Sus scrofa: one gene and its partners. The protein of the gene in region 7 interacts with the protein of the main gene of each other region in a pairwise test. Links are inferred from orthologs where the notes say so. Each region holds a gene or a part of one and is shown on either strand. Other genes may lie near its edges.

The links.
Region 1: the proteins of CEP70 (region 7) and TRIM29 interact in binary tests that used the Homo sapiens proteins (3 or more experiments, as listed by UniProt). The two-hybrid records come from large-scale screens. The link is inferred for Sus scrofa from reciprocal best matches to the Homo sapiens genes CEP70 and TRIM29.
Region 2: the proteins of CEP70 (region 7) and MFAP1 interact in binary tests that used the Homo sapiens proteins (3 or more experiments, as listed by UniProt). The two-hybrid records come from large-scale screens. The link is inferred for Sus scrofa from reciprocal best matches to the Homo sapiens genes CEP70 and MFAP1.
Region 3: the proteins of CEP70 (region 7) and ZBTB16 interact in binary tests that used the Homo sapiens proteins (3 or more experiments, as listed by UniProt). The two-hybrid records come from large-scale screens. The link is inferred for Sus scrofa from reciprocal best matches to the Homo sapiens genes CEP70 and ZBTB16.
Region 4: the proteins of CEP70 (region 7) and TAF1D interact in binary tests that used the Homo sapiens proteins (3 or more experiments, as listed by UniProt). The link is inferred for Sus scrofa from reciprocal best matches to the Homo sapiens genes CEP70 and TAF1D.
Region 5: the proteins of CEP70 (region 7) and LENG1 interact in binary tests that used the Homo sapiens proteins (3 or more experiments, as listed by UniProt). The two-hybrid records come from large-scale screens. The link is inferred for Sus scrofa from reciprocal best matches to the Homo sapiens genes CEP70 and LENG1.
Region 6: the proteins of CEP70 (region 7) and KAT7 interact in a two-hybrid assay, tested with the Homo sapiens proteins (2 studies listed by BioGRID and IntAct). The two-hybrid records come from large-scale screens. The link is inferred for Sus scrofa from reciprocal best matches to the Homo sapiens genes CEP70 and KAT7.

Annotation. Positions count from the first base shown.
Region 1 is NC_010451.4:47,281,305-47,285,245, reverse strand, and holds the start of TRIM29 (tripartite motif-containing protein 29), read left to right. Parts: upstream 1-1,141; 5' UTR 1,142-1,340; coding exon 1,341-2,141; intron 2,142-3,941.
Region 2 is NC_010443.5:127,740,218-127,744,206, forward strand, and holds the start of MFAP1 (microfibrillar-associated protein 1), read left to right. Parts: upstream 1-1,189; 5' UTR 1,190-1,390; coding exon 1,391-1,469; intron 1,470-3,989. UniProt on the Homo sapiens protein: Involved in pre-mRNA splicing as a component of the spliceosome.
Region 3 is NC_010451.4:41,831,536-41,835,035, reverse strand, and holds part of ZBTB16 (zinc finger and BTB domain-containing protein 16), read right to left. Parts: intron 1,290-3,500; coding exon 1,060-1,289; 3' UTR 1-1,059. UniProt on the Homo sapiens protein: Acts as a transcriptional repressor. Transcriptional repression may be mediated through recruitment of histone deacetylases to target promoters. May play a role in myeloid maturation and in the development and/or maintenance of other differentiated tissues.
Region 4 is NC_010451.4:26,164,483-26,168,467, forward strand, and holds the start of TAF1D (TATA box-binding protein-associated factor RNA polymerase I subunit D), read right to left. Parts: upstream 2,801-3,985; 5' UTR 2,650-2,800; intron 893-2,649; 5' UTR 792-892; coding exon 733-791; intron 1-732. UniProt on the Homo sapiens protein: Component of the transcription factor SL1/TIF-IB complex, which is involved in the assembly of the PIC (preinitiation complex) during RNA polymerase I-dependent transcription.
Region 5 is NC_010448.4:55,969,250-55,973,384, forward strand, and holds the start of LENG1 (leukocyte receptor cluster member 1), read left to right. Parts: upstream 1-1,335; 5' UTR 1,336-1,421; coding exon 1,422-1,553; intron 1,554-2,658; coding exon 2,659-2,838; intron 2,839-4,135. Other genes in the region: TMC4 (transmembrane channel-like protein 4), read left to right, coding at 1-95, 203-358, 588-666, 752-820.
Region 6 is NC_010454.4:25,969,766-25,973,956, forward strand, and holds the start of KAT7 (histone acetyltransferase KAT7), read left to right. Parts: upstream 1-1,391; 5' UTR 1,392-2,000; coding exon 2,001-2,033; intron 2,034-4,191. UniProt on the Homo sapiens protein: Catalytic subunit of histone acetyltransferase HBO1 complexes, which specifically mediate acetylation of histone H3 at 'Lys-14' (H3K14ac), thereby regulating various processes, such as gene transcription, protein ubiquitination, immune regulation, stem cell pluripotent and self-renewal maintenance and embryonic development.
Region 7 is NC_010455.5:79,359,441-79,362,940, reverse strand, and holds part of CEP70 (centrosomal protein of 70 kDa), read left to right. Parts: intron 1-2,853; coding exon 2,854-2,979; intron 2,980-3,500.

The DNA of each region.
Region 1 (3,941 bases), on a different chromosome or scaffold from region 7:
GTGTGCTGGGGGTGTTGGATTCCCAGGACCATGGCAGTGGGTCGCAGCCCAGAAGGGACCAGGTGGCCTATCCTGGCAGGAGTGGAGGGTCCCCAGTGTTCCTGGAGGTGGTCAGAGAGAGGAAGAGTCTAGAGTCTTTAGTTTTTCTCTCTTTTTTTCCCTGAGGTCTGGGATTGTATGATAGTCATATTCTGTCACTTCTGAGAGTATCTGAGAGAGGGTGTTGCCTATGGCCTGGAAGAGAGAGGGTGGACAGGTATTGTTCTGAGTCACATAGCAAGTTGACCGTGGAGGCAGATGAGAATGAAGTGTTTGGGCCCCGAGGACACAGCCACCTGGCTGGCACTGCTTGCATTCCTGCCCCTCACTACTGTTTCTCTGGCCTTTGTATCCAAGCAGGTTCTGACCTGCTCTGATCGCATTAACAGAAAATCTGTATGCGTCTTGTTAAGGCTTCTGGGACAGGCATGGCCTTTCAAAGCCATCTTCCATTGAGATATTCAGGTGGCTCTGTTGACACCTGCGCTGAAAAAGGGAACCTGGGCTCAAATATCAGCTCCACCTCTTGACTTAGGCCAGCGAGTTATTTCCTTAGAGCTCCCGTGTTCTCATCTATTAAGTGGGGACAATTGAAATAGTTGTTGTAAGGATTACCAGAGATCATTAGGTCATGCACCTAACACAGGGCCTGGCAGTTGGCAGGAGGAGTTCAGTGACGAGTAGCCACTTCGCTCCAAACCCTAAAATCCAAATCAAACTGAACCCATCACTCCCTTTAGGGTGAGAAGCCACTCCGCTCTCTCAGGGCAGGGCAATCTTCCTCTGAAACCCAGGCCCGCTGATTACAAGGCTATTTGGTTTGTGTGACCCAGTTAATAACCCTCTGTCCCGTCGGCCTCTGCGGACACCTCACCTCTGCCCCAGGGGCCGCTGGGCTCAGCGAAGCCTGCCCACGGGTGAGGACAGAGGCTCCCACTTTCCTGATGAGAAGAAAGTGCGTCAGAAGGAAGCAGCCCAACTGGTTGCCGAGCCGTGGAAAACAATTAAACTGGGGGAGAAAAAAACCCTTTAAAAAAAATCAGGTTAGGTATGAATGTGCAGGGTGTGGCCCCCCTGTATAATTAGCCGCTCTGCTGGCTCCGGGAGCCACGGCCGCCTCTCCCGGCCCCGTTGTGTCAGCCCCAGCGGCCCCTCCTCTCCGCTCCTCCTCCTCCCCGCTCCCTGAAGGTGTGTCTCGGGCTCTGCGGCTGCCTGTCCCACTCCCCGCCGAGACGCCCGCCGGAGAGGTCACCCACCCACACCTCCAGGGAGCCCGACCCAGACCAGCCAGGTGACCCGCGATGGAAGCCGCAGACGCCGCCAGGAGCAACGGGGCCAGCCCGGAAGCCAGGGATGCCCGCAGCCCGCTGGGCCCTAACGGCAGCCTGGAGAACGTGACCAAGGCCGAAGGCAAAGAGGCCAAGACCACCAACGGGCACGCGGGGGAGGCGGCCGAGAGCAAGAGCCTGGGCGGCGCCCTGAAGCCGGGCGAGGGAAAGAGCTCCCTGTTCTCCGGGAACGAGTGGCGGCGGCCCATCATCCAGTTTGTCGAGTCCGTGGATGACAAGACCTCCAGCTACTTCAGCATGGACTCTGCGGACAGCAAGAGGTCCCCCTACGCCGGGCTCCAGCTGGGGGCCAAGAAACCGCCTGTCACCTTCGCCGAGAAGGGGGAGCCGCGCAGGTCCATCTTCTCGGAGCCCCGCAAGCCCACCGTGTCCATCATGGAGCCCGGGGAGGTCCGGCGGAACAGCTACCCTCGGGCCGACTCGGGCATCCTCCTGCGCTCCAAGTCGGGCTCCGAGGAGGTCCTGTGCGACTCGTGCATCGGCAACAAGCAGAAGGCCGTCAAGTCCTGCCTGGTGTGCCAGGCCTCCTTCTGCGAGCTGCACCTCAAGCCCCACCTGGAGGGCGCCGCCTTCCGCGACCACCAGCTGCTCGAGCCCATCCGGGACTTCGAGGCCCGCAAGTGCCCCCTGCACGGCAAGACCATGGAGCTCTTCTGCCAGACGGACCAGACCTGCATCTGCTACCTCTGCATGTTCCAGGAGCACAAGAATCACAGCACTGTGACTGTGGAAGAGGCCAAGGCTGAGAAGGAGGTAAGAGCCGGGCCCCTCCCCCACCACCCTCGGGGCCTCTCCTCGCTCGCTGAGTCCTCCCACCTCATTTTCCCACTGGGGGTGCTGGAGTCTGGGGCTCATCTCTCTGCTGTCCCTGGGTCTTTCAGAAAACACTTCTGTCCCCTCTACTCCGCCAGGCTGGGAGTCAGGGAGGGCTCCCCAGTCCTCTAAGGCCCCAGGAGACTGGTGTATTCTAGATGAGCACATAGGGGCTCAGCAAAGATAGGGGACTCGGCTAAGGTCACAGGATAAATTCAAGTCAGGTCAAGGATTGGCACTCAGTCCTGGGCTGGGTGGGCCTGGCTGGATGTATCTTTTTCTTCTTCTTCTTCCTCTTCCTCTTCCTTCTCTTCTTCTTCTTCTTCTGAGGAGTGGGTTATGGGTGAGGAGGAGGGAATTTGGGGATGGCTTCAATGTCCTATTTTCTGTCTTCAGAGTTGGCCTTTGCAGGACAGCAGCTTCTTCTTGTTCCGTCTGATCCTCCATCCTGTCCCTTGACCCCCCTGCTGGCCTCCTTTATCCCCCCTCAGCCAGGCCCTGTGTGCTTTGTGTGTGTGGTTGTATGTGGTGGGCGTGCCTCTGCCTGTGGATGGACGCTCTTGGTGAGGGTTGGAGTGGGGGGGAGGGGTCTGTGTGTTTTATATGCACGTGGGTGTGTATATGCGTATGTGGATGTTTGCATAAGATTGTGTATGTAGCACGTCAGTGTGCTTGCATGCATCCTGTGTTCGTGATTCTGCCAGTAGTTCTGTGGTGAGGAGCGGAGGCGTGTAGAGGCTTGTGAGTGTGGTATACCTGGAGCGGGTGCGCCGGCTACAGGCTCAGCTGTGGCTGCTGCCCCTGGCCCTGCAGACTGGGGCCCTTTGCCCCCACTCCCCGGCAGCCACATAGCTCCCTGGCATGGGCAGCCTTTTGTTGGGGTGAACCTTCCCAGCGGTCAATGCAGGGGAATCGACTTTCTGCACCCTGCAGGCACCCCCTCTGTGCCCAGCCTTCCTGACCAAAAGTTTGTGGGTGACTGTCTCCCACCCACACTCCTGGGCAGGAAGGAGCTGTCAGAGATGAGAGAAAACTCAAAGATCCTTTTCCGAAGCCTCATTTGGCCCAGGAGCAAGGTGACCCCAGTTTCCCCTGCCTGGCTTCACGCTTCATACGGGAAGATGGAGATGGGGGCCTTACTTAGAAAATCAAAATAGAACAAGGACCAATCATCTTCATTCACCACAACCAAGAAGTTGCACAGCCCTGACTGGGCTGGGTTTTGGGAGACCTGGATTCCAGTCCTGGTTTTGCCTCTGATCATCTGTGCAGTGGTAGCCAGGTCCCTTCCCTTCCTTCAGGCTCAGTTTCCCTTCACGTGAAACTAGGGGATTGGACTCCATTGGAGATTTTCTTTCTTCCTTTCTCTTTTTGGCCATGGGGGATCCTTAACATGCTGAGCCACCAGGGAACTCCTAGAGGTTTTCAAATTACCCCATAGAGCCCTTGGGGAGCTCCATGGAGCTTAGGATTCTTGGGACTGTCATTAGCTTAGGATTCTTGGGAATGTCTTTAAGGTGTCAGGGATGAGAATGGGGGCAAAGTGATGCCAAAAAGACAGGGTCGGCAGGTTCCCACCTCACAGCAAACAGTACGTGCTCTTGTTCATCCGTTGTATACATGGGGTTTGGACTCCAATTTTATCTGAATCAAGGGTATCTCCAATTAAGAAAAGCCTGAATGCTCTAGAGGGTAGTCTTTGGCAGCTTTCTCTGGTGGTACCTGGAATGTGGAGTTCAT
Region 2 (3,989 bases), on a different chromosome or scaffold from region 7:
CATTTAAGAGTTACAGTCATATCAAACTTTTTTTTCTATTCTCTAGATGTCCGTGAGCAGAAACAACTAACTGCCTTCCCATCAGATTTACTCCTTCTGAATAGCACGGTTTTGAAGCTGATAAAATTATAATACAAATTTCTATTTGCTCTATTTTTACAGTCCTTTTCTTTCCAGCTCAAAATTGCTCCTTTGATGGCTTACTTGAGTCATCCATTGTTCCTTAATGGAGATTTGCTCAATTGTATTTCTCCCAGCCTAAGCCCAATTTTAGAACACAGATGAAATAATTTTAGAACGAATCCTTCAAAGCCCTTCAGGAACTTTCACACTCCTCAAATGAAAAATTACTGATAAAATCAAACTTTTCATAGTGTCTAATATATATACCATGCAATTTCTGTACTTCAAGACTTTGCTCATGTGTCCCTTCCCTCCCCACCACAGCAGTTATAAAATCCTTTCTACACTGAATGTGTTTTGACTTTCAATTAGCCTATGTTTTTTACACAGCCCAGCAAGTAAATTGGGATTGTTTCTGATATTACTGTAAAAGCCCTTGAAGACTTCCTAAATAAAATTCAAGTATTTGGAAGACATAAGCCTTTTAACAATGCTCCATACTCCTTAGAGCTAAACGAGGTAAATACAGCAAGTGCTTAATAATTACTTATGGACTTTCATATACAACCATTCCAGCCAAGAATATGTTTTAATAGGCAGTCTCTAGAAAGGAAAGAACTGAAACGCCTAAGAGTGTTTGGATTTCAGGCATTGTTCTAAGCCGTTTAGGGGATTTTTTTTTCCTGCCACTGGTCTAAATTAGCACCACTTGCCCTGACGTAACCCAAAAATATCGCACTACAAACCGCTCGGTCTCATCAAGTGAGAAAATCAGGTGCTATTAGCAGGATTTCTATTTCGATTTAACTCTAATTCTTAGCTTTCAACAATCTGAACACACTGTCCTTCTCTAACTCCTCGGTTTCTTCTTCATCACTTTGCCATTTTCCTCGGCTTCAAACGAACCTAATCAGCGAAACCTTTAATTCGGGTCTTCCGCGGACCTCAGAGTCTTAACCGCAAAGTCCAGAGAGCCATTTCCCGCCAGAAGTGGCGTCCAAATACCGCGAGACTAAGGTCGACAGGGAGTTTATGAGCATGCGCAGTAACAGACTCCACGGACTTTGGCTCCCTGACGTCCTCCACAATCCCACAATCCTCTAGTCGTACATTTCCTGTTTTTCTAGCTCAGCCGTAAGTGGTGTTTCTATCAGTACGCAGCAGTGTCCAGTGGCCTCTGGTGCGGAGGATTTTCTGTTCGTTGACGTTGTACCTGTTCACAGTTTGGAATCAGTCAAGTTTTGGAATCACCGCCGCTGCCATCAAAATGTCGGTCCCAAGCGCACTCATGAAACAACCGCCTATTCAGTCTACGGCTGGGGCCGTCCCGGTTCGCAATGAGAAAGGTACTGTGTTGAGCTGTTTTCCAGTCGGATCTTACTTGTTTCCCTAGCATATTCCAAACCGACCCCGGGCCCACCACCTCAGCCCCAGCGATCCTTAAGACCTTGCCCCCTATTTCTTTCGCCATCAAACTCGCATCCAATCGCGTTGCCTAGAAGGGAAAAAAACACCCACACTATTTCCACCTCATCTTGTTCCTAGAGCCTGTCGGTTCACTCCTACAGCAAGCATCCTCTTCCCTTGGCCTCCACCAATAAACTAGAGTAATAAATAAAGTGAACGCTTGCTGTTTGGAAGGCGTTGTGCGGGATACAATCCCAGTTTTGTTATCCATAATCTGTTTATGCTTTTATAACTCTTACTGTAATTATGTGTCCATCTCTCTCTACTGCATCATAAACTCATAGATTCCTCAAGGCAGGAACCCTCTCTTATTAAACTTTTTAATCCCTTTCAACCAACGCAGTGACTGTATTTGTTAAATTTAATACAGAGACAGTACCCCTAACCTTAAGGAACTCATAGTAGACGTGATTCATGCAAAAAGAGACCTATTCTAAGCAAGTGTGCAGTCTTTCGCACCCCTAATACTGTTACATAGGTGATGTAAACCAAGCGCTTTGAATAATCTCTTCAGACTGGGGTACTCAAGTTGATCTTTAAAGGATAGGTTTGATTCCAGTGAGTGCAGATGGATGAAGCAACACTGTACCTGTTTAGGGAGTCAGACTGAAAAGTCAAGAGTTTTTTCAGTAAGATATTTGGAAAATAATATCACTTCTTTCCTGTTTTTTAAATATAAGGTACTTATCCTTGTGTAACCTGCCTTTTTTTTTTTTTTTCCTTAAACTCTGTGGTTTTTTGATAAGTGCCTTTGGATACATGGAGATCTTATTAATTTAACTGCTTATGAGGTCTATTATATGGAGTTTGTTCCCTGCTGAGGGACAATTAGCTGTTTTGTTACTTTTTTTCCTCTTACACACAGCGCTGCAGTTATCATTCTTTAGTGCACTGCCTTAAGAATTTTAGGGTAGACTCCTAGAAGTTCTTCATCAATTAACTACCTATTGCCATTTGCTCTCCACAGTGGATTGTAAGAGCATTGAAAGTTTTTATTTCCTGTTATATTACCCACAATCTTGGTTGTATGAGATTTTTTTTATTTGCCCGATCTAATGGGTGTGAAACAATAGCACGTTATTTTAATTTGCAATTTCCTGAGTCCAGGATTACTAGGCATCTTGTTTGTGTGTTTATCATCTCTCTAGGTGTTGTCTTCTATGAATTATCTCTTTCAATTACCCATTTTCTATTTAGTTTGTTCTGACACATCCCAAATCTTTTTTTTTTTTTTTTTTTTTTTTTTTTTTTTTTGTCTTTTTGCCTTTTCTAGGGCCACTCCTGTGGCACATGGAGGTTCCCAGCTAGGGGTCCAATAGGAGCTGTAGCCGCCGGCCTATGCCACAGCCACTGCAACTAGGGATCTGAGCCGCGTCTGCGACCTACACCACAGCTCACGGCAATGCCGGATCCTTAACCTACTGAGCAAGGCCAGGGATCGAACCTGAAACCTCATGGTTCCGAGTCAGATTCGTTAGCCACTGTGCCACAATGGGAACTCCCCCAAACTTTAATATCTATTTCCCAGAGTTTTTTGGCTTGTCTTTTAATTATGGAGTCTTCTGTCACACAGGTGTTTTTAGTTTTATTGTTGACAGATTTAACAATTTTGTCTTTTATGTTTTGTGGTGTTTAGTATACTGTTTAAGAAATCCTTGGAGTTTCCTGGTGGCTCAGTAGGTTAAGGATCCAGTATTATCTTGGCTGTGGCTCTGATCCCAGCTGTGGCCCAGTTTCAGTCCCTGGCCCAGGAACGTCCCAATTTAAAAAAAAAAAAAAAAAAAAAAAAAAGTCTTTTGAGTTCCCCTTCCCAATTTAAAAAAAAAAAAAAAAGTCTTTTGAGTAACTTACCCAACCAGAATCCATGAGGACTCGGGTTTGATCCCTGACCCCGCTCAGTGGGTTAAGGATCTGTCATTGCTGTGAGCTGTGGTGTTGATCCCAGATGCAGCTCAGATCCCGTGTTGCTGTGACTGTGGTGTAGCCAGCAGCTGCAGCTCTGATTCAACCCCTGGCCTGGAAACCTCCACATTTCCTTGAGTGCCGCCCTAAAAAGACCAAAAAAAAAAAAAGATTTTTGGTTATCTAAGTGTTTGTATATTCTGAATAGGAAGGATTACACAGTTGTCTAAGACAGACTATAAGTTAAGGAGCTTACAGTCCAGCAGGGATGTAAATGTTTAAGATGTGTTTTTCGTGCATGAGTATTTAGCTTATCTGGAATTGTGTGTGTGTGTGGCATCCATTATAGATCTAATTTTAGTATTTACCTCAGGGCTAGCCAGTTGCCCCAACTACTCCATTGTTTTGCCGTACCCACTGCAAGTTATGCTTATTTGCCATATGTATAACTTCTTTGGTGAGGTATCTGTTAAGGTCATTTTTTTGGTTGGTTGGTT
Region 3 (3,500 bases), on a different chromosome or scaffold from region 7:
GGTCCCCAGCACAACTCCCCACCTCCCTCCCAGGGCAGGTGTCCCCGCCCGGTGTAGGTGCCTCTGGAGGAAGACACCCAGGCCCTCGTGGGCAACACACCCTTTCACGGATTCCTCCTCCGGGGGGCTGAGGAGGGCTGTAGGGATTTGCGTGTGTTTGGTGGGACGGTGTGTATCAAGTTGCTCCTTTTTTCCACTCTAGAAGCAGAAGCAGCTCAGCAGGAATCTCGCTCAGGACAGGGCTGGATGGGGTGGGCTCTTCCACTGACTTCGTCCACGTTCTCAGAAAGCCACGAGTGCCGGCAGGGGCTCTGGAGTCTCACAGCTTCCCAACTGGGAGGAGGGAGACACCCCTGGTCCACAAGGGAGGGGCGAGGAGGGGAGCCAGGGGGCCACAGGATTGGGGGAGAGGGCCCTGAAGACCAGGAGGGGCCACCTGGCATGGCTGAGTGGAGGAGAGCCAACAATGGATGGAGCGGGGGAAGCGTAGAGGCGCCCCTCCCTGCCCCTGTCTGCCCCCAGCAAACCAGAGCTGCCTTTGTGAGCATCAACCAGCGACCCAGCCCAGCCCCACCGCCTGCAGGCCCCCTCTCCGCAACCTCCCACCCCACCCGTTCCTCAGCCCCGTCTTCCCAGGGGTCGTGAGAGGACGGCAGGCAAAGATGGTTTGACTCCGACCAGAGAATCCTTCCCTCCCCGCCTGGACGCCAACTCTGGACACAAAAGGAGGATCTGAGTGGAAGGAAGAGAAAAACATCCCACCATCTGAGCTGAACAAAATCCCCCCCACCCCCCACCCAAGAAGAGACGGCCGACCTCCAGCCGGGAAAGGAGGGCCGGGCCCTCGGGTGGCAGGGGGCTCGGCCAGGCAGCCAGGTCACCTGGAGCCCCAGAGGGAATCCAGAGCCAGACAGCCCCCAGGTTCCCTTGTCCTTCTCTCTCTTTTTCTTTCTTTTTTTGTTTGCTTTTTGTTTTTTGTGGTGGTTTTTGCACAGTCCTTCTGGACGTCATCCTGCTCTAACGCTTCTCCTGCTCCCCCGCCATGGCCGCAGGCTGGCCTCACACGTAACACAGGTAGAGGTACGTCTTCTCTATCCTCCAGTCGGGCGGGATCTCCTCGGGCTTGTGGCCCTTCATGTGCTTCTGCATGGAGGACAGGCTGGGGCAGTACTCCGTGCAGATGGTGCACTGGTAGGGCGAGGCGCCGTTGTGGGTCCGCAGGTGCTTGATCATGGCCGAGTAGTCCCGGGAGCGCTGGTGGCACAGCTTACACTCGAAGGGCTTCTCTCCTGTGGGGGGAGGGAAGGCGGGGCAGTGAGGGCCACCCCAGGGACGCTCGGCACCCTCAGGGCACGCCCCCCCCCCCCGGGCTTGCTGGAGCCTTTTGGTCCCTCTGGGACGGTGCCTTCCACGGTGACGGAGACACCACCCAGGGTGGCAGCCACAACTGTCACAACTGGCTACTGAGGGCCTAAAAGGTGGCCAGGGCAATTGCGAACCCCGTTCTTTTTTTTTTTTTTTATAATGAAAGTATAGTTGACTTATAATGTTGAGTTCGTTTCTGATGTACTACATTCTTTTTTTTTTTTTTTTTTTGGCTTTTAAGGGCCGCACCTATAGCATATGGAGATTCCCAGGCTAGGGGTTGAATTGGAGCTGCAGTTGCTGGCCTACACCACAGCCACAGCCAACTCGGGATCCGAGCCGCATCTGAGATCTATACCACAGCTCACAGCAACGTCGGATCTTCAACCCACTGAGTGAGGCCAGGATTTGAACCTGCATCCTCAAAGAAACTATGTAGGGTCTTTAACCCACTGAGCCACAAAGGGAACTCCTACATTCTGCATCTCCATCACTGTAACTCATGTAAAGAGCCACCCCTAGCTGGGGCCATGGTGTTGTCAGCACCACTCCAGCTGCTGGCCTTCCTCTTAACCCACTCAGGGCCACAGACTCTCCCCTTCCTAAGAAAGGAGACAGAAATGTAGACAAGGGGCAGTACAGCCTCCTTGGTCCTTAGGGATGGCTCTTTAGCACACAGTTCCTTCCAGGGAGCAAGGGGATGGAGTCCTTTCAGGGCTACAGATGATGGGGAACGGCAGTGAAACTGGGGGACCCCATCCTGCAAATATGCTACACTGGGGGATGGCGACTCCTCTAAGGCTCTAAGAACCTGCCCTGGACCCTGCCTCCCCCTTGGCAGCTAGAAGAGGGAAGGGACCGAGAGCCTGGGAATGAGTGACCACACCCTCGGGGTGACAGCCTGTCCCGCTGTTACAGTCCCCTGGAGCCTAGCCGAGGATACAAGGGAACCTTGTTTCGATACAGTAATTAACTGGCCAGCCATCTCGCTATCGATACTCCTCCGTGCAGAGGCCCCTGCAAATAATGAAGTAATGAACAGCCAAAGTGATCTAACTATTGACTGGCTATTTACGATCGTCAACGCCAATGCATGTAACGATCCGTCTGCCAGGTCACGTCTCTGACAAGGGGCTAGGGAAGCCCCAGGGCCCTGGGAAATCCTGGGGGTCACTCCAGTTGTCAGCGACGAGCACCCCATCCTCTCCTGGTGGCCCCAAGCAGAGCTCTGAAAACACACATCCTCTGCTTACGGCTCCCTGGGTTCACCTCCCCTCCCAGGTAAACACACTCTCCGCTGGGCCGGCAGCACCGGCCTGATCACCTCTCCGCCTCCCTCTGGCCAGGCAGCTGCTTCCCCTGATCAGGAGCGACTTCCTACTTTGCCACATTCCACCACCTTCTACGACCTCCCATCCTCAGACGAGGCCTTGTGAATATCTAGCCCCCCGACCAGCTGTGCGGTAAATGTTTAACAACAGGCTCTCCCCAAAGCCCTGATTTTGTAGCTGGTGTTGACAGCCATGTTGTGAATACGCCCCACTGTGGCTGGTTTTCAGCCACTAACGTGACAGACTGAACACAGGGCTGGGATGAGACGTGCACTTGGCCCCCAGAGGCAGGCTTGGCCCAGCTCTAGTGTCCCACACCCTCAACTCTGGCAGCTCTGGCCATCGGGACCACTTCCACTTGTTCTATCTTTGGGCCCCAAGAAAAGAGCCCCTCGCATTTCTGTAAAAAGGAATGTGACGGCCCGGTGAACGGGTGAAACATTACACTCAGAGAGGGGTTAGTAAATACATCTGCTTCTCTAATCTTTGAACCAAACTCCATATAACTTGTAATTTTTCCCAACCCTCATCATAACCTAACTTAAGGTCCCCTAGCTCTTACTCAAACCCTCAAGCACAGGAAATCATCCCAGCCTTCACTTCCAGCTAATCAGGCACCTTCACTTCCCTCAATCAGGAGTCACAAATGGACATCATCTGCGAGCGATTGGTATGGCTGCCTGGAAGGCCAGTCTGGGCCCCTGGAAAGGGTGCTGTGATTGATTAGCAATGTCTGCCTTGCCCTCGCCCAGAGGAAGCGGCACTCAGTGTGGTCACCACACTGAGCCTTATTGGCAGTTGTTC
Region 4 (3,985 bases), on a different chromosome or scaffold from region 7:
ATTCTCTTGTTACACAACAGAATGATTTAGTCAGGAAAATACCAATTTGGCCCAGAGAATACACTCCTGATTTGATTCCCTGGGTTACAAACACGTCCCACTATTCCAAAGTAGTTAAAGCGAAAGTCTGTGGAAACTGGGTTTTCCTTTTTTTCCAATTCTTAAAAATTACCTTACAAACTATTCATTATCTACAATGATGCATGCTATCACAGCAATTCCAATACAGTAAACATTATCACCTAGTCTGTTCCCAGGAAAACCTGGTGGTAGTTAACTGAGAAATAAAAACACTGCCTGCTCTATCAGTAAGCAAAGGATGTCAGTCATCAGTGATTTCAGCCACCTCCGATGGTGAGCTGGTGAGCCCTGAGCGAACACAGGCAAGAAACACCTGCCAGCCAGCAGCCACACCATATAGTGAGCCCTGAGGAAACTCAGGATGGAAAAACAGGGGATACTGGCTAGAGACAGCTGAGGTGCACATCAAAGACGTTATTTCAGTGAACCCAGACCTTGGCATCTTCTCATACAAAGACATGTGCTGAATTCCTTAACTTGAGGTTATCTGCCCTTCGTTACAGGACCCTCCCCTTGTCACCCTGCAAGAGTTCTCTCTGGGTTACTTGAGATGCTGCCTCCTAGACTTAAATCCTCATTTTGCCCCAAATAAAACTTAACTCACAGTTGTGCATATTTTTTATGTAGACATTTTTTTAGAAAAACACTTACCTTTGATTCTCAATTTCCAAAGCTGAATCAGAAACTGTTGTACAATTGTGAGAATCCATCTTGATATATAGTCTTCAAGCTCCTCTCAAAATTGTCACTTGTCCTTTGCTTTAAACAGACTTCTGACCATATGAAATCTGGTAGATGTGATGTAGTTTCCCTGAACAAATAAATGCCAACAAAACAGCTAGGATCAGAGTAATGCAGATATTGATGTAGTCAATTACGAAAATTAAGACAAAAATGAATGTAAGGCCTTTAATATTCTCATATACAACTGTCTAATTCTAACATCTAAAGATTTTATTCATGGGTTCTTTCAGTTGTGCCTACTTAATCCATCCTATAGAACAAGATTCCAGATTTCCTACAGGAGTGTCAAACTTCTTTTCCCTAACAGTAAAAATGTAATTTTTACCCTTAGCCATACAGTCATGTAGTTACAAATAGTAATGTTCAATTAATGGCCAAAAAGCCATTTGCCAACAGTGGTGGGAACCAAGAAATCTCTTGCATAACAAAGATTAAGTCCCACAAAGGCAGCCTTTGGCCTCAGTATACCCAGAAAAATTATTTGGACTTACCTAAACCTAACCTTCAGGTCTGCAATTTTCATTTATGGCCTCTTTCCCTCACTAGATTTTAAGTTACTGTGAAACCCCTTCCTTGATAAATTACTTCTTTGCTACTATGGGTGTTAACCCAAAGTTCTGAATTCTCACTTTTCAATGTACAGACTACAATAAATGGTGCCCTTTGTCTCCTTTAAAAAAAAATCTCCTTGGAAGATTTTACAGTAGTTTGGGAAAAGTATTAAAGATGTCTTATTTTGTTCTGTTTCATTTCCTTATGAGGATGTCATCATTCTTCATTTTTTTGTGGTGTTCTTAGTCTAACATTCTTAGTAATGACACATGAGTAATGATGAAAGAAATCCTTCAGCAGCAGTATTTGAAATCTAAGAAATCAATAAGATCACCTAGATCTTAAATTCACAATGTCTCATGGACTCGTGTGATAATTTCATAGTGTTTTATTGCAGTTTTCAAAACTGCGTTAACCTAAGAAATAAATCATGAAAACAGCCTAAAAAAGAAATTCAACAAAAACTGGATCCAATGGCAATGATGGAATACCTGACATTAAGTTTAAAATAATTACAGAGCACACTATCAAAATTAAGTAAGCTTAACTCAAAAATGTTTTTCAAGAGTTTCTATTGTGGCTCAGTGGGTTAAGGACGGGACGCTGTCTCCGTGAGGATGCGGGTTCAATCCCTGGCCTCACTCAACGATCCCGCGTTGCTGCAAGCTGCTTGGGTCACAGATCCAAATCGGATTCTGCATGGCTGTAGTGTAGGCCGGCAGCTGTAGCTCCGGTTCAACCTCTAGCCTGGGAACTTCCATATGCTGCGGGTGTGGGGATAAAAATAAGAAAAAAAAACTTTCGGGAACTAGAAAGCATTCCTATCGCTTCCTGTTCCGGGATTCTGCAACAAGGGGCCACGGAGCCAGGCAGTGCTCTTTAGCAGCTTTAACAAAATCCCTTCAACTCTTACTTAGTGCGACCTTGGGGCGAATGTCTCCAGAAGTGCCTAACCTCGTGCAAGGAAAATGGCGTCGGTAACGGTTACCTCGCACTTAACCACCACTAATTGAGAAAACGTGCACTCGCTTCAATACACTTGCACTTCAACACCCACAACTCCGATAACGGCCCACGCGCTTAGCCTGTACCTGTGAGTCCTGCCGCCCAGAGCAGAGCCCACAATCACCGCGAGCCCTCCGCTCCCGCTGAGCCGCGCAGGCGTCCCGGGAAAAGTGAAAAGCGCCAGGCCCTCCCCCTCCTTCGCCCACAAGGCCCCGGCGCCCAAGTCCTCTTTCCTATCCGTCCAGACCGCGGACGGCTTATACCAACCTGTGCCCGCTCTGCGCACGGGTCTCCGTTGGCGTCCTCGGTTGCAGCCCCGGCCTCAGAAACCCGCGTTGGGCGCGCAGGCCCAGAAAACACCCAACCTCCACAAACGCGCGGAAGAAAAGGCTGGGCTAGTCCCGCGTCCCAGCTAATAGTGGCCCCGAAGTCTCGCGATAACAATTTGACTGCAGGAAATAACAGAGAGATAGGAGAAAACCAGACGCGGCGCTCCATATTGGCTGCCGCGAGGGGCGGGGCGATTTAGAGTGGGCGGGACCTGAGCTTTTTAACCCAGGGGAGGCGGACTTGACTGAGGCCAGGCCAGGCTTCTGGTGTACGCGTCCTGAACCGGTAAGGTAAATGGAATAGTCAAGAACGTTTGGGCAAACTATGAAAAAGAAATTGTGGGGGCAGGGGAACGGAATGAATGTGAACTGCGAGGAAGAGCCACTTCTCCTGCTTTGACTCCAGTGGTCTCCCTTTGCTGAGCTGTCCTCCGACTTTCCAAAGTCTGATTCCGGGTGTGTGTGTTTGTGTGTGTGTCTACTTTTGCCTTCAAAAATCTCTTCTGTGTAAAATTGTGAGAGGATCATGCTGTGACTGAGAATCGAAATGTGTAACCTTTGTACTAGAAGCCATTGTTATCCAGTTACGCACTCAGTTCCCTCTCCACCTTCGGACTTGTTTTGTTAACTCAGTCTTTCTTTTGGAACTAAGGGTCAGCCTCCCAGGAGGTGGTTAACACATCGCAAGAGATGCCAGCGGGGGCCTTTTTTTTTTTTCTTTTTAGCCCTCTTAGTTCCCTGAGCGGTAAATGAGTGTTAAGGTAGAAGTTAAACTAGTTTAGTTTTGGTGGCAATTTTTTCCCCCGAAGTAGTTACAAAAAAGGAATGAGCTGTCCTGATTTGTCTACTTTCAGACCTCTTGTATCATATAATAAAACCAGGAAAGCTGTCTCGTGTTAATTTGTGGTTAGTGTCATCTCGGGATAGGACAGACCTGGAAGGTAATCAGGTTTCTTTACTCAATTTTTCTCTAAATGTTGTTCTAAATTCCAGGCGCAGAAAGTCTGGTTTTCTAGGCATTATGAAGTACTGTCAGCTCCAGGACAGGTATCACATGTCTTAGTCACTGCTATATTCCTAGGCAGGCCTGCATATGCAGTTTGTGAAGCTCAGTACAAAATGAAAATGCATGTATTTTATATGCATAACTGATTCACTTTGCTGTAAACCTGAAGCTAATAAACATGGTAAATCACATATACCCCAATAAAATTTTATTCTATTTTATTTATGTTTTTTAGGGCTGCAGGTGCAGCATATGTAAGTTCCCAAGC
Region 5 (4,135 bases), on a different chromosome or scaffold from region 7:
ACATTTCGGGCCTCTACTGTGAATTTCTTTTTCCCCCTGGTGCTTCTCCTGGGTCTGGCCATCTCCGCCGTTCCTGTGCTATATGGCATCTTCGTGTAAGTGTGAGAGGCACCTGCCTCTCTTTCCCTCCCTCTTCCCACTTCCCTCCAAGGTTCTGACTTGTGGCCATCCTGGAGCTCTGCCTGTCTGTCTCTGACTTCAGGATCCCACCTTCTAAGCTGTGTGGTCCATTCCGGGGGCAGTTGTCCATCTGGTCCGAGATCCCTAAGTCTATCGGAAGCCTCCCCGAGACTGCCCAGAATTTTCTCTTCTTCCTGGGGACCCAGGCATTTGCTGTGCCCCTTCTGCTGTTATCCAGGTGAGGGCCCCAGACTCCTGCATCCGGGTTTGAACGTGTGATCTGGGGTCCTACTTCCGAGAACGGAGGGGGCTGGGGGCCCAAACTTCTGGGTCTGCGGGAAGAAGGGAACTGGGATACTAGACTTCTTGAGTCTGAAGGAGGTCCGGGCCCCTGGTTTCTAAAAGAGTCTTACGTCGAAGATACACTAAGCGTGTTTGGGGAGTGGCTTTCATTCCGTCTCCTCTAGCATCCTGATGGCATATACTGTGGCCCTGGCTAACTCATATGGACGCCTCATCTCTGAGCTCAAACGCCAGATAGAGACGGTGAGTCAGGCCGGGTCCTTGGCAAGGGGTCCCGGGGAATCTAGAGATCTGTCTCACCTCCACCTCTCTTTACCCTTTACCCCAGGAGGCACAGAATAAAGTCTTCCTGGCACAGCGCGCTGTGGCACTGAGCTCGGCCAACGGAGCTCTTTGACCTTCCCAGCCTGGTTCAGGGTGACGACGTCTCGCTTTCAGACAGAGACCCACCCCCAGATCCTTTGAAGGTCTCGGCCGCGTCGTTTGGAAAATGAAAGAACTGGAGAACATCCCATGCCTTTCCAGCCCTGGGGGTCGCTGCCTCTCCAGTGAACCCCTTTCTTGTATCAATAAACACAACGGAGGCTGCTGAACGCTTTTTGAAACTTGTGTCCGGAAGCCGGGGGCAAGACTTCAGCGAGACAGAAGCCAATCAAATGCGTTGGCCGGGGAGGGTTGGTGTGGAGGGCATTTCCTCGAGAACACCTGGTGGGCGTGTCAGCCAATCAGCGGCTGCGTTCGGCAGCGTCAGGGCGGGGACACTTGTGATGGACTCGGGATCTTCAGGAGAGGCCGTCGCTGGGCGACCGCACGCGCGATGCTCCGCGATGGGAGGTGGGGGTCTCAGCCAATCAGCCTTTGCTACGGACCCGGGGGGGCGTGCCAAGTAGTCTAGGACCAATCCGTGACCGAGGCAGAAACAACAGGGAGGGGCCATCCTCCTGCCAATCGGAAGTGCTAGGAGGCGGGCCTGCCAGTTCGCGGACAGCTACGGCGCCATGAATATCCTACCCAAGAAGAGCTGGCACGTCCGGAACAAGGACAATGTGGCCCGCGTGCGGCGTGACGAGGCCCAAGCCCGGGAGGAAGAGAAAGAGCGTGAGCGGAGGGTGCTTCTCGCTCAGCAAGAGGTAAGCACCGAGCCCGGCCGGGGCTCCGGGGCTGAGCGCGCAGGCTCCTCGGGAGGGACCGGAAGCGGTGCGGCGCGCAGGCGCAGGGCACACCGTGGGGAATTTGGGGCTGGGTGCTTTGGAAGTATCTTCTCCTAGTGCTTTGATTAGCTCTCCTTGAACTCTCGCCGCTCTTGCTCTTCCCCCGCTCCTGTACTTCTCGAGGCCATAGTAGGAGCTCATGAAAAAACGAAGCCCTGAGTAGTTCAAGGAAACCCGGGCTACTTTTCAGTTTGCCTGCGCAAAGTCCCCATTTAGTGAGCGCCTGCTGCAGAACGCTTGACTTGCAAAATATCTCAAGCACCGTTCATTCTTAGAGGAGGCGCTATCATTTCTATTTTGCAGAGGGGTGAGATGCCTTCAGAGAGGAGGCCACAGCGAAATGACAGTGGAACAAGGCAATTCAGTTTTATCGGGCGAGCCCTTTGCCTGCACTGCCGGCCACACAGAAACACCAGAGGCAGTCTTTGTAACTCCTCACCTGTTTGATTTACACCTCACTTCCAGTCCTTTAGCTAATTTGGTGGTCAGCACTGGCTGGGGGATAGTTAGGGCTTTTAAAATTCTCATTTATCACTAGAAATTGCAAACCAACCGGGGATAGTGACTCGAAGCCCAACCTGGAATTCAGATCACCTGTTCTAATACATGTTTTGGTTGCCTTCATAGCGGTTTTTCTGTTTGTTTTTTTTTGGCAGTGCCCACCGCATGTGGGAGTTCCCAGGCCAGGGACTGAACCTGAGCCTTAGCAGCGACTTGAGCTGCTGCAGTGACAAGGCGGGGTCCTTAACCCGCTGCGTCACAAGGGAACTCCATTAATAGCTGTTTTTATTGTGTCACTGGAAATTCGGAATCCCTCTGGTTTTCTGTTTGAAAGGTAGCTTGCAAACCCAGATATTGCCTTATTTCTCCACCTTTTCTCGAAGCTGGGGCAGGTGCCTTTCCTGGCTCCGAGTGCCTCTGCTCCCTTCCTTACAGCCCCCGTCTGTGGTTGGCACTAGATTCACTGTTCCTTGAATCACATCTAGGTTCTGAATATTCTGCCTGTAACTTTCTTTTCCCCCAGGCCCGCACGGAATTCCTGCGGAAGAAAGCTAGGCATCAGAACTCACTGCCTGCGCTTGAAGCAGCAGAAGCAGGAGCCCCAAGGTCTGGCCCTGTGGATCTGTTTCGGGAGCTGCTAGAGGAAGGGAAAGGCTTGAGCAGAGGCAATAAAGAGTACGAAGAAGAGAAGCGACAAGAGAAAGTAAGTTGGTCCTGCCCTCTCCATCAGTCATGGATGGAGCTGGGGCTGGGGGAGCACCTTGCTTTCAGGTGTGACTGAGGGGTATTTAGGGACACAGAAGGAATCATATAGCTAATTTAGAGAACTCTTAAGAGTAATGAGGAAGTCCCTTTGTGGCTCATCAGTTAACGAACCCGACCAGGATCCATGAGGATGTGGGTTCCATCCTTGGCCTCGCTCAGTGGGTTAAGGGTCCGTTGTTGCTGTGAGCTGTAGTCTGGGTCGCAGACGCGGCTTGGATCCCCCATTGCTGCGGCTGTGGCGTAGGCAATGTGGGAAGACCCCTAGCCTGGGAACTTCCATATGCTAAGGGTGCGGCCTTAAAATAAAAAAGAAGAGTACTGAAACATAGCAGTCAAGAGAAGTTGGTTACTGTCGGGGTGCTAAGTACAAACCTGTCAGGTCTCTAACCTGGTGTCCAGATGTATAGATATCTGGGGAGTGTTAAGGAGCTTTGATTTTATTTTTTTTTAAATTTTTAAAATTATAGTTGATTTACAATGTTCTGTCAATTTCTGCTTTTCAGTAAAGTGACCCAGTTAAACATATATACATGTGTGTGTACATATATATATACATTCTTTTTCTCACATTATCCTCCGTCATGTTCCAGCACAAGTGACTAGACATAGTTCCCTGTGCTGTGCGGCAGGATCTCATTCTCTCTCCACTCCCACTCCCTTGGCAACAAGTCTCTTCTCCAAGTCCATGAGTTTGTTTCTTTTCTGTAGAAAGGTTCATTTGTGCCACGTATTAGATTCCAGATATAAGTGATAATGTATGGCATTTGTTTTTCTCTTTCTGATTTACTTCACTTAGTATGAGAGTCTCTTGTTCCATCCATGTTGCTGCAAATAGCATTATTTTGTTCTTTTTTATGGCTGAGTAGTATTCCATTGTGCATATGTGCTACGTCTTCTTCATCCATTGTCTGTGGATGGACATTTAGATTGTTTCCACGTCTTGGCTGTTGTGAATAGTGGTGCAGTGAACATACAGGTGCGTGTGTCTTTTTCAGTGAAAGTTTGTCTGAATATATGCCCAAGAGTGGGATTGCTGGGTCATACCGTACTACTATATCTGGTTTTCTGAGGTACCTCCCTACTGCTTTCCACAGTGGTTGGACTGATTTACGTGTAGGAGGGTACCCCTTTCTCCACACCCTCTCCAGCATTTGTTTGTAGATTTCCTAATTATGGCCATTCTGAACAGTGTGAGGTGGCACCTCAGAGTAGTTTTGATTTGCGTTTTCCTAATA
Region 6 (4,191 bases), on a different chromosome or scaffold from region 7:
AGTCCTCTGCTTAGCACAACAATCAGATGTTTACCTTCTGCTGCTTTGTTCTTTAGTTCAGCTCCAGGGGGAAATCTCCATCTTAGCTAGCCTCAGGTGAAACGGGCTCCAGGATCCTAACTTAATGACTCTTGGATTTTTTTTTTTTTTTTTTCCTCCCAGTCTCTGGGCAAAGCTTTACTCCACACAAGGCTTTTCTCCCAGCGAGGTTAAATCCTCAACGCTTGCTGTTCACTTCTCAGCCTTTTCTTACCGCTCTTCTGCCAACCTTACATCTTCCACCAACTTCTCCTTTCTAGGCAGCTAACATCAATGCCTTTCTGAGCTCCAGCTTTACTAAAAATATTCCTTCCTCTTCCTCCAACTCCTGACTCAAGCGTCTGGATTTCGAGAGGTCACTTGGGCTAATGGGGTTCAATGCTTTTCCAACTCTGGTACCGCGCACGCGCGCACACACACACACACACACTCATCCCGAGGGCCACCCAAGGCTCTCAAACCCATACAGGATGAGGGGACGAAGTGGGTGTGCTCACCACAGAGCTAAACTGGTAATTCTTTGGAGCAACAGTTTCTGGAGAATGGTTGTGTCTCCTTTCGCGAGTGAACGGATCAACATACTTGCGGTTCGCTAAAGGCAAGGACAATGTCTCCTCTACCAGACAAGAAACTTCTTCATGAAGGACGCTACCTTCTTTCTGTCCTTTCACAAGCCCCCATTCCCAGCACTGTGAGACACCGAATGGCTCTTAAAATAGTTTCTTGTGCAAAATAGCCCTTCCCAATTTTGAGTTTATGTGATAAAGGGAAACGTCCTTTAGCCAATTCGGCGACTAAGGGGTTAAACCTCAGCAACCTGATGGATTCTGGGGCTTTCTTTCCTCGACTTCAGAAATTAAAACCAAAGGGAAGGGAAATTTTGCCCATTGTAAAGATGAGAACTGTTAACTTCAACTGTCAGGCTTCTGCCCCAAACAGGAATGGCTACCCACGCCTACAGAGGATGCCATTCCCCTAACTAAAAATGGCGGGCCCCAGTTTCCACTGTCGCTGCCACTTTCTGCCCAATTCCAAAATGGCTCCCGCTAGCCTCACCGGAGGGGGAAACCTCCCAGAATCCTCTCTGGCCCTAACGTCAGGTGACGCAAGCCTCAGCCGGAAGTGGAGGAAAAAGCGCCTCAGCCCGCGGCGCCTGCGCAGAAAGGTCTAGACGCTGTGAAGCAGGAGGCACTTGGGATCGTCCGCAGGATTGGGACTGCTACAGAGGCCGCCACGGAGCCCGCCGGAGCCACCGTTCCCACTGCTGCTGCCGCCGCTGCCCGAATCGGAACCGTCGGGCCGCAGCCGCCGGCAATGCCGCGAAGGAAGGTGAGAGGAACGGGACAGGAGGGATGGCGGGTTTCTAAAGGGCAGTCGATTGAGAAGAGTGACGCAGTTGGCCACGCCTCACAGTGGTTGGGTTCCAACTTCCCGCTTCCCTGAACCTAGCTCAGCAACCCTCGCTTCTGTCCATACCCAACAGAAAAATGTGGGCCCGACTGTGGCCTCGGCCTATGCTTGCACCTATTCCCGCCCTCTGCTTGCCTGGCTCGGAGGCGTTCTTCTCGGCAATTGGTCGCTGAAACGTCTAGAAGCATGTTGATTGGCTGGCGACACCGCCCATTTGGGCCCAACGGTCACCTCCCCGCGTGTGGGGGCGGTGTCTAGGCCCGGCTCTACCGCTCTCCGACTGGATGTAGAGAACGATCCCTCTTCTCTTGATTGGCGGGGCTTGGCAGTCTGTCCTGTGGGGGCGCGGTTTAGCGGGACCGCGATTGGGTGGCACGAGTCCCCTCCCATCCGTATGGTGATGCTCATAGGAGGAGAGGCGGGGTTTGGGGAGTATCCTTCCTTTCCCCGCGGAGGACACAACAAAGCAGAGGACTGGGTGGTAGAGAAGCAGCGCCCACTCCCGAGGGATCCCTTCCAGGCCTGTTGCACCTAAGCTGCGGTTTTCCCTTATGTGCTTAGTTGGACAGCGCCTAGAAAATGAAGTTCGTAAATCGGAAACTTCCTAGAATTAAATGGGACTTGACGATGTCATCTAGGGACACCCCCATCCCTTTTCTCAGCTAAGCAGAGGCTTAAGGGAGTGCCCCAAGCCACTCAATTAGGCAATGACAGAGCCTGGACTACAGGACAAATCTAATTCAGTTCAACAAACGTTTATTGACTCTTCGCTATGTGCTGGTTGCCGAGGACTCGAAAATTAATTAGACATGATCACTGGCTTAAGGAATCAGAGTCTGAGAGGAAAACAGACATTTAAATAACTGTAGAAGGGTTTAGTAAATTCTCTACTTGGCAGTAATAAAGATTAATGGGAGGGAAGTGGAGCAATTTAATCTGCTCTGGAGTAAGATGGGAAGTAGTTGGTGAAAGCAGTAGAGGAGAGCTGAGCTCCAGGGTCATGCCAGGAAGGGATGGGCAGAGATGATTAGGGATTCAAATAGCTGGGTAATTGGATTGGATGACCTTTAAGACTCCCCTTTCATCTTAATTTTTGGTGATTCTCTGTGGATCCTCCACTCATTTCCTGGCAGATTATCCTTGAAATATTTGGAACGCTGGGTGGTGGTCTTGCTCATTTCTGCAGAAATCTTTCTCTTCACAGAGGCTTTCAAATATTTACATTTTTTAATGTCTCCAAAATGACCTACATTGATAGGTGGTATTTATGTTAAGGCTCACCAAATAGTACTGGTGTCTTGGAATAGGCCCACAGTCTCCTTTTTGCAATCCCCAAGTACAAAGAGTTCTTGAAAATGTGTGTTTTTTAGTAACTTATTTCTTGGCAGAACCTGTTCTAAACTGTTCTGAGGCTATTTACAGTTTTTGTGTCTCATTTAGTGTGATTGTACATATATTTTGCTGCAGAAAGGGTGTTATTTGCAGGATGTATGCAGACTATTCCTTTCTAAAAAATTATGAATTCTAAACACATCTGATCCTAAGGGGGCTTTTTGTTTGTTTTTGCTTCTTGTATGTTTTTTTTAAGCAAATGCATCTCTCTTTATGGTTTAAAATTTTTTTTGCTTTTTTTTTTAGGGGTGCATCTGTGGCATACAGAGGTTCCCAGGCTAGGCATCAAATCAGAGCTACACCTGCTGGCCTACGCCACAGCCACAGCAACGCAGGTTCTGAGCCACATCTGAGAGCTACACCACAACTCACAGCAATGCCAGATCCTTAACCTGCAACCTCATGGTTCCTAGTCGGATTCGTTTCCTCTGCACCACAGTGGGAACTCCTCTTTATGGTTTAATAAAGGGTATGGTGTTAGCATAGGAGGGTACCCCAACCCTTCTGGCTTTGCTCTAGGATTCCCTGGGAAGGAAAGAAAGTTGGAATTTAATACAGAAAGCTGATGATCAATAGGTGATAATAAGTTGAGGGAGAAAATGTAACATACTTTGAGCACTTAAATTGTGCCAATTTGGTTACTGCTGTATGAGCATGCTGCAAAATGGGAGAAAAACTTCTGTTTTTTCAAACAAGTGTTTAATGCTTAATTGATAAAAGTTATCTTTATGGTTAATTGTGTCTCTGGAGGCTGATAATTGACAAATAATATTAACTGTAAAGGTGATTTTAAAAAACCTTCTGTTTTTGCATACCCATGTGTCTTCGTTTGCAAACCACTCCCTCCCCCCTTTTTAAAAGCACTTTTGGGGTACATGTGGAGAAACTTCAAAGGGAGATGACATAAGTAAGAAGAATTACTATTTTTCTCCCTAAGTTTGAGATCAGAGTTATAGACCATGATATTTTGAATCAGTGTGTGGTTTTTAATTCATTTTATTTTTTTATTTTTTGGTTTTTTTTTTTTTTTGCTTTTAAGGGCCATACCTGCAGCATATGGAGGTTCCCAGGCTAGGGGTCTAATCAGAGCTACAGCTGCCAGCCTGCACCACAGCCACAGCAATGCAGGATCCGAGCCACATCTGCAACCTACACCACAGCACATGGCAACACCGGATCTTTAACGCACTGAGCGAGGCCAGGGATCAAACCTACAACCTCATGGTTCCTAGTCGGATTCGTTTCCGCTGAGCCACGGTGGGAATTCCAGTGTGTGGTTTTTAAAAATGTAATAGCTGTTTATGTAGACTTTGAGCAAAAGCTACTCCAGAATTAAGTGAGGCTGTCACT
Region 7 (3,500 bases):
TCTATATGTTTTTTAACTTAATCCTATATGTTGTCTACCTATGAGATACAGGTAGTACTCTGTTTTCTCTTTTACGAAGATAGAAATCAAAGCTCAAAGATGTTAATGAGTTTGGCCATATCACACAGTTTAATAAATGATTAAGGTAATAGTCACTCAAGCCATTGGACTGTGAAGTCTAAGCCTTTATACTTTACTCTTTATAGTGCTACAAGAGCATATAACAAGAGGACCCAATCTAGTCATGGGATCAGGGGGGATTTCCCTGAAGGAAATTTAAATCGAGATCTGAAGGTCAAGTATGAGTTAACCAAGTGAAGAGGATAAGAGCGCCTAGGGCTTTGAACCTAGAGGGGGCTGACACTTTGAAGATCTGAAAGAGATCTGGTGTGGCTGTTGGGAAGATTATCAGAATATGTAGCTTCTCACACTTTGGGGATTCTCTTACATTGATATTCGCCTCCCTTATGTCTGGTCTACAGACATATTCTTCCTACTTTAAAACTCGGTGAGTCCTGATGGTGGTGCAGTAGAAAGAACACAGCATTACCTCTGAGGCATTCTTGCCAAAAAATACTGAACCTAATATAATAAAACCTCTACATGTAACCATTTTACAAGAAACATATGGAATGAAGAAGTATGTTAAATGATATGGATACAACAAGCCCAATCTGAAATGTGGCTAATTGTGTAAGACAAATGGCGTATTTTTTCAACAAATATGGCAGGTTTTTTTAAAAAAAGAGAGAGTGGAAGAAGATGAGTGAGACTGTTACAGATAAAGAGAAAATTAGGAGTGCTGTATGTGGACTTGATTTGAAAAAACAAACAAACATCAAGACTTTTTAAGACATTTGGGGGGAAAATTGAACACGGAATAGATATTAAGTGATAGTAAGGAATTATTTTAATATAGTTGGTTGTGACAATGGTATTATGTTTTAAAAGAGTATATTTATTAGAGATGTATATTGAACTATGAGTGAAGAAGAAATAAGTATGGAAGAATATTGGTTATCACTGAAGTTGGATTAATGAAATACTCTTATTTCATTAAGAGGTCATTGTACTCTTTCTCTACTCCTATGTATTTTTGAAAAGTTCTGATAAAAAGTTTAAAAACTAGCCAAAAGGTAGTAAGTTGGCTGATATTTTGCAAAAGTATATTTAAAACAAAGTTTGGGGAGTTCCCGTCATGGCTCAGTGGTTAACGAATCCAACTAGGAACCATGAGGTTGTAGGTTCAATCCCTGGCCTTGCTCAGTGGGTTAAGGATCTGGCATTGCCATGAGCTGTGGTGTAGGTCGCAGACGCGGCTCAGATCCCACGTTGCTGTGGCTCTGGCGTAGGCCGGTGGCTACAGCTCCGATTTGACCCCTAGCCTGGGAACCGCCATATGCCTCGGAAGTGGCCCAAGAAATAGCTAAAAAGACAAAGGATCCGGCACTGCCGTGAGCTGTGGTGTAGTTGCAGACGCAGCACGGACCCCACATTGCTGTGGCTCTGGCGTAGGCTGGCAGCAACAACTCTGACTAGACCCCTAGCCTGGGAACCTCCATATGCCGTGGGTGCGGCCCTTGAAAAGGCTGAAAAAAAAAAAAAGTTTGGGGGGGTGGAGAATGAAAATAGTGGGTGATTGAGTTGTTGAAGGAAGCCACAGTTTAAGGAGAGAGAGTACTCTATGATGTCAAGCAGCAAAAATGGCAGAATTTGATAATTTGTAACATGTTACTAGGTTTAGCTTAAAATGAATTATTGGTGACTAGAAAATTGTTTAGTTGGATTTCAATATCTGAAGAAGTCATAGGAGTACAGAGGATGCTTTGCAAGAAATATGGAACTGAGGCAGGGAAGCCTACTTCTAGTGAGTCCTGGGAAGATCATTTTATTTCTCTCGGTCTCAGATAGTTAAAGCACCTGATATATTGGTACAGTTCTCCCAACACTCTGTCCTGCCAGCTATGTACAGCTAGAGATTTACCAAAGTTCTTTCAAACTCTTAAGATTCCATCATGCTAATGAAAGCGTATGTGATTGTACCTTTGGAAAGGAGGAATTAGATATCAAAGAATCCAAAAAAACTTTTTCCTATAGAATGGCAGAGTCTTAGGCAGCAAGAGTACTGATGAGAGGGTAGACCGAGTATAAATTTTATGTGTGCCAAACAGCATCCTCTGTTGCTAGCTTTTGATCCACTTATAAAAAGAGACCACCTAAGAATGTGGCACTTCATTTGCCCTAGAGTTAATCTAGTGAATTGTTAGACTGGCCTGTAACCTTGGATCAGATACAGTTCTTTTAGTTTTTTGGGAAGCAGCTTCCAAAAAAATAAGTTTATTTGTTAGCATTGCTTGCTTTTCACGTTATCTATTTAAAACAAATAGTTTTCTTTGTGTGTATGTGTAAAACTCTATGTTTTATTTCTAGAAGAGAACATTATAAAATTACAAAATTCTCTCTCTCTCTTTTTTTTTTTTTTTTAGGGCCACACCTGTGGCACATGGAAGTTCCCAGGCTGGGATCCAATTGGAGCTGCAGCTGCCAGCCATAGCCACAGCCACAGCCACAGCCATGCCAGATCTGAGCCATGTCTGTGATCTACATCACAGCTCATGGCAACACTGGATCCTTAACCCACTAAGCAAGACCAGGGATTGAACCCACATCCTCATGGATACTAGTTGGATTTGTTACCACTGAGCCGCAGTGGGAACTCCATTATAAAATTCTTAAAAATCGGTTTCTTAGAAGTTATAAGAGTTTGACACGGGAATGCTTAAATTGCCTATGAGTAGTAGGTTCTTTTCAATACCTTTTTCTTTTAATGCTCTTTTTTCTTTTTTAATTTAGGCAACTCACAATTTTTTATTGCCAGTCTTTATGTCTTTTGATTCTACAAAAGAAACTGTATCTACAGCAGCCCCTAAAGCCCAGGAATCCAGCAAATCATCAACCAGTGTCATGACTGAAAAACAGGTAAACTTGAAATATTTGAAACCAGTGTTTTTCATAGTATATGTCAAAGAATCCCACATTTACAAATGTGAAAAAACTTAATAAAGCCTTCTTTAATAAAATCATCTTGGGAAATGATGGGTTAAAGACTATTACATGATAGCAATATTCTAAGATTTCACAATACCATCAGTCTCCAAAAGCAGGCTTTAGTATATAGTATTTCCTACTTACTTAACACTAATCTGATGAATATTTCTGTAGACTGATGTTATGTAGCACATACTTTGGAAAATGCCATTCTCAACTACTTTCAGAATTTGGCAACAGTTATGTTATTCTTTCTATTTAAAGAGCTATCAGGGAACAATATGTGTAATTTGGTCATTCACAGTGCACAACATTATTTATAGAACATTTTGTTCTTACGAGTCATAGTAGACATCTACTTGTATATCCACACAGAGCTTTTGGCTCCTAAACATATAGCAGCAGTAATTGTAGTTGTGTGTCATTAATCTTTATGATTAGAAGATATAAAT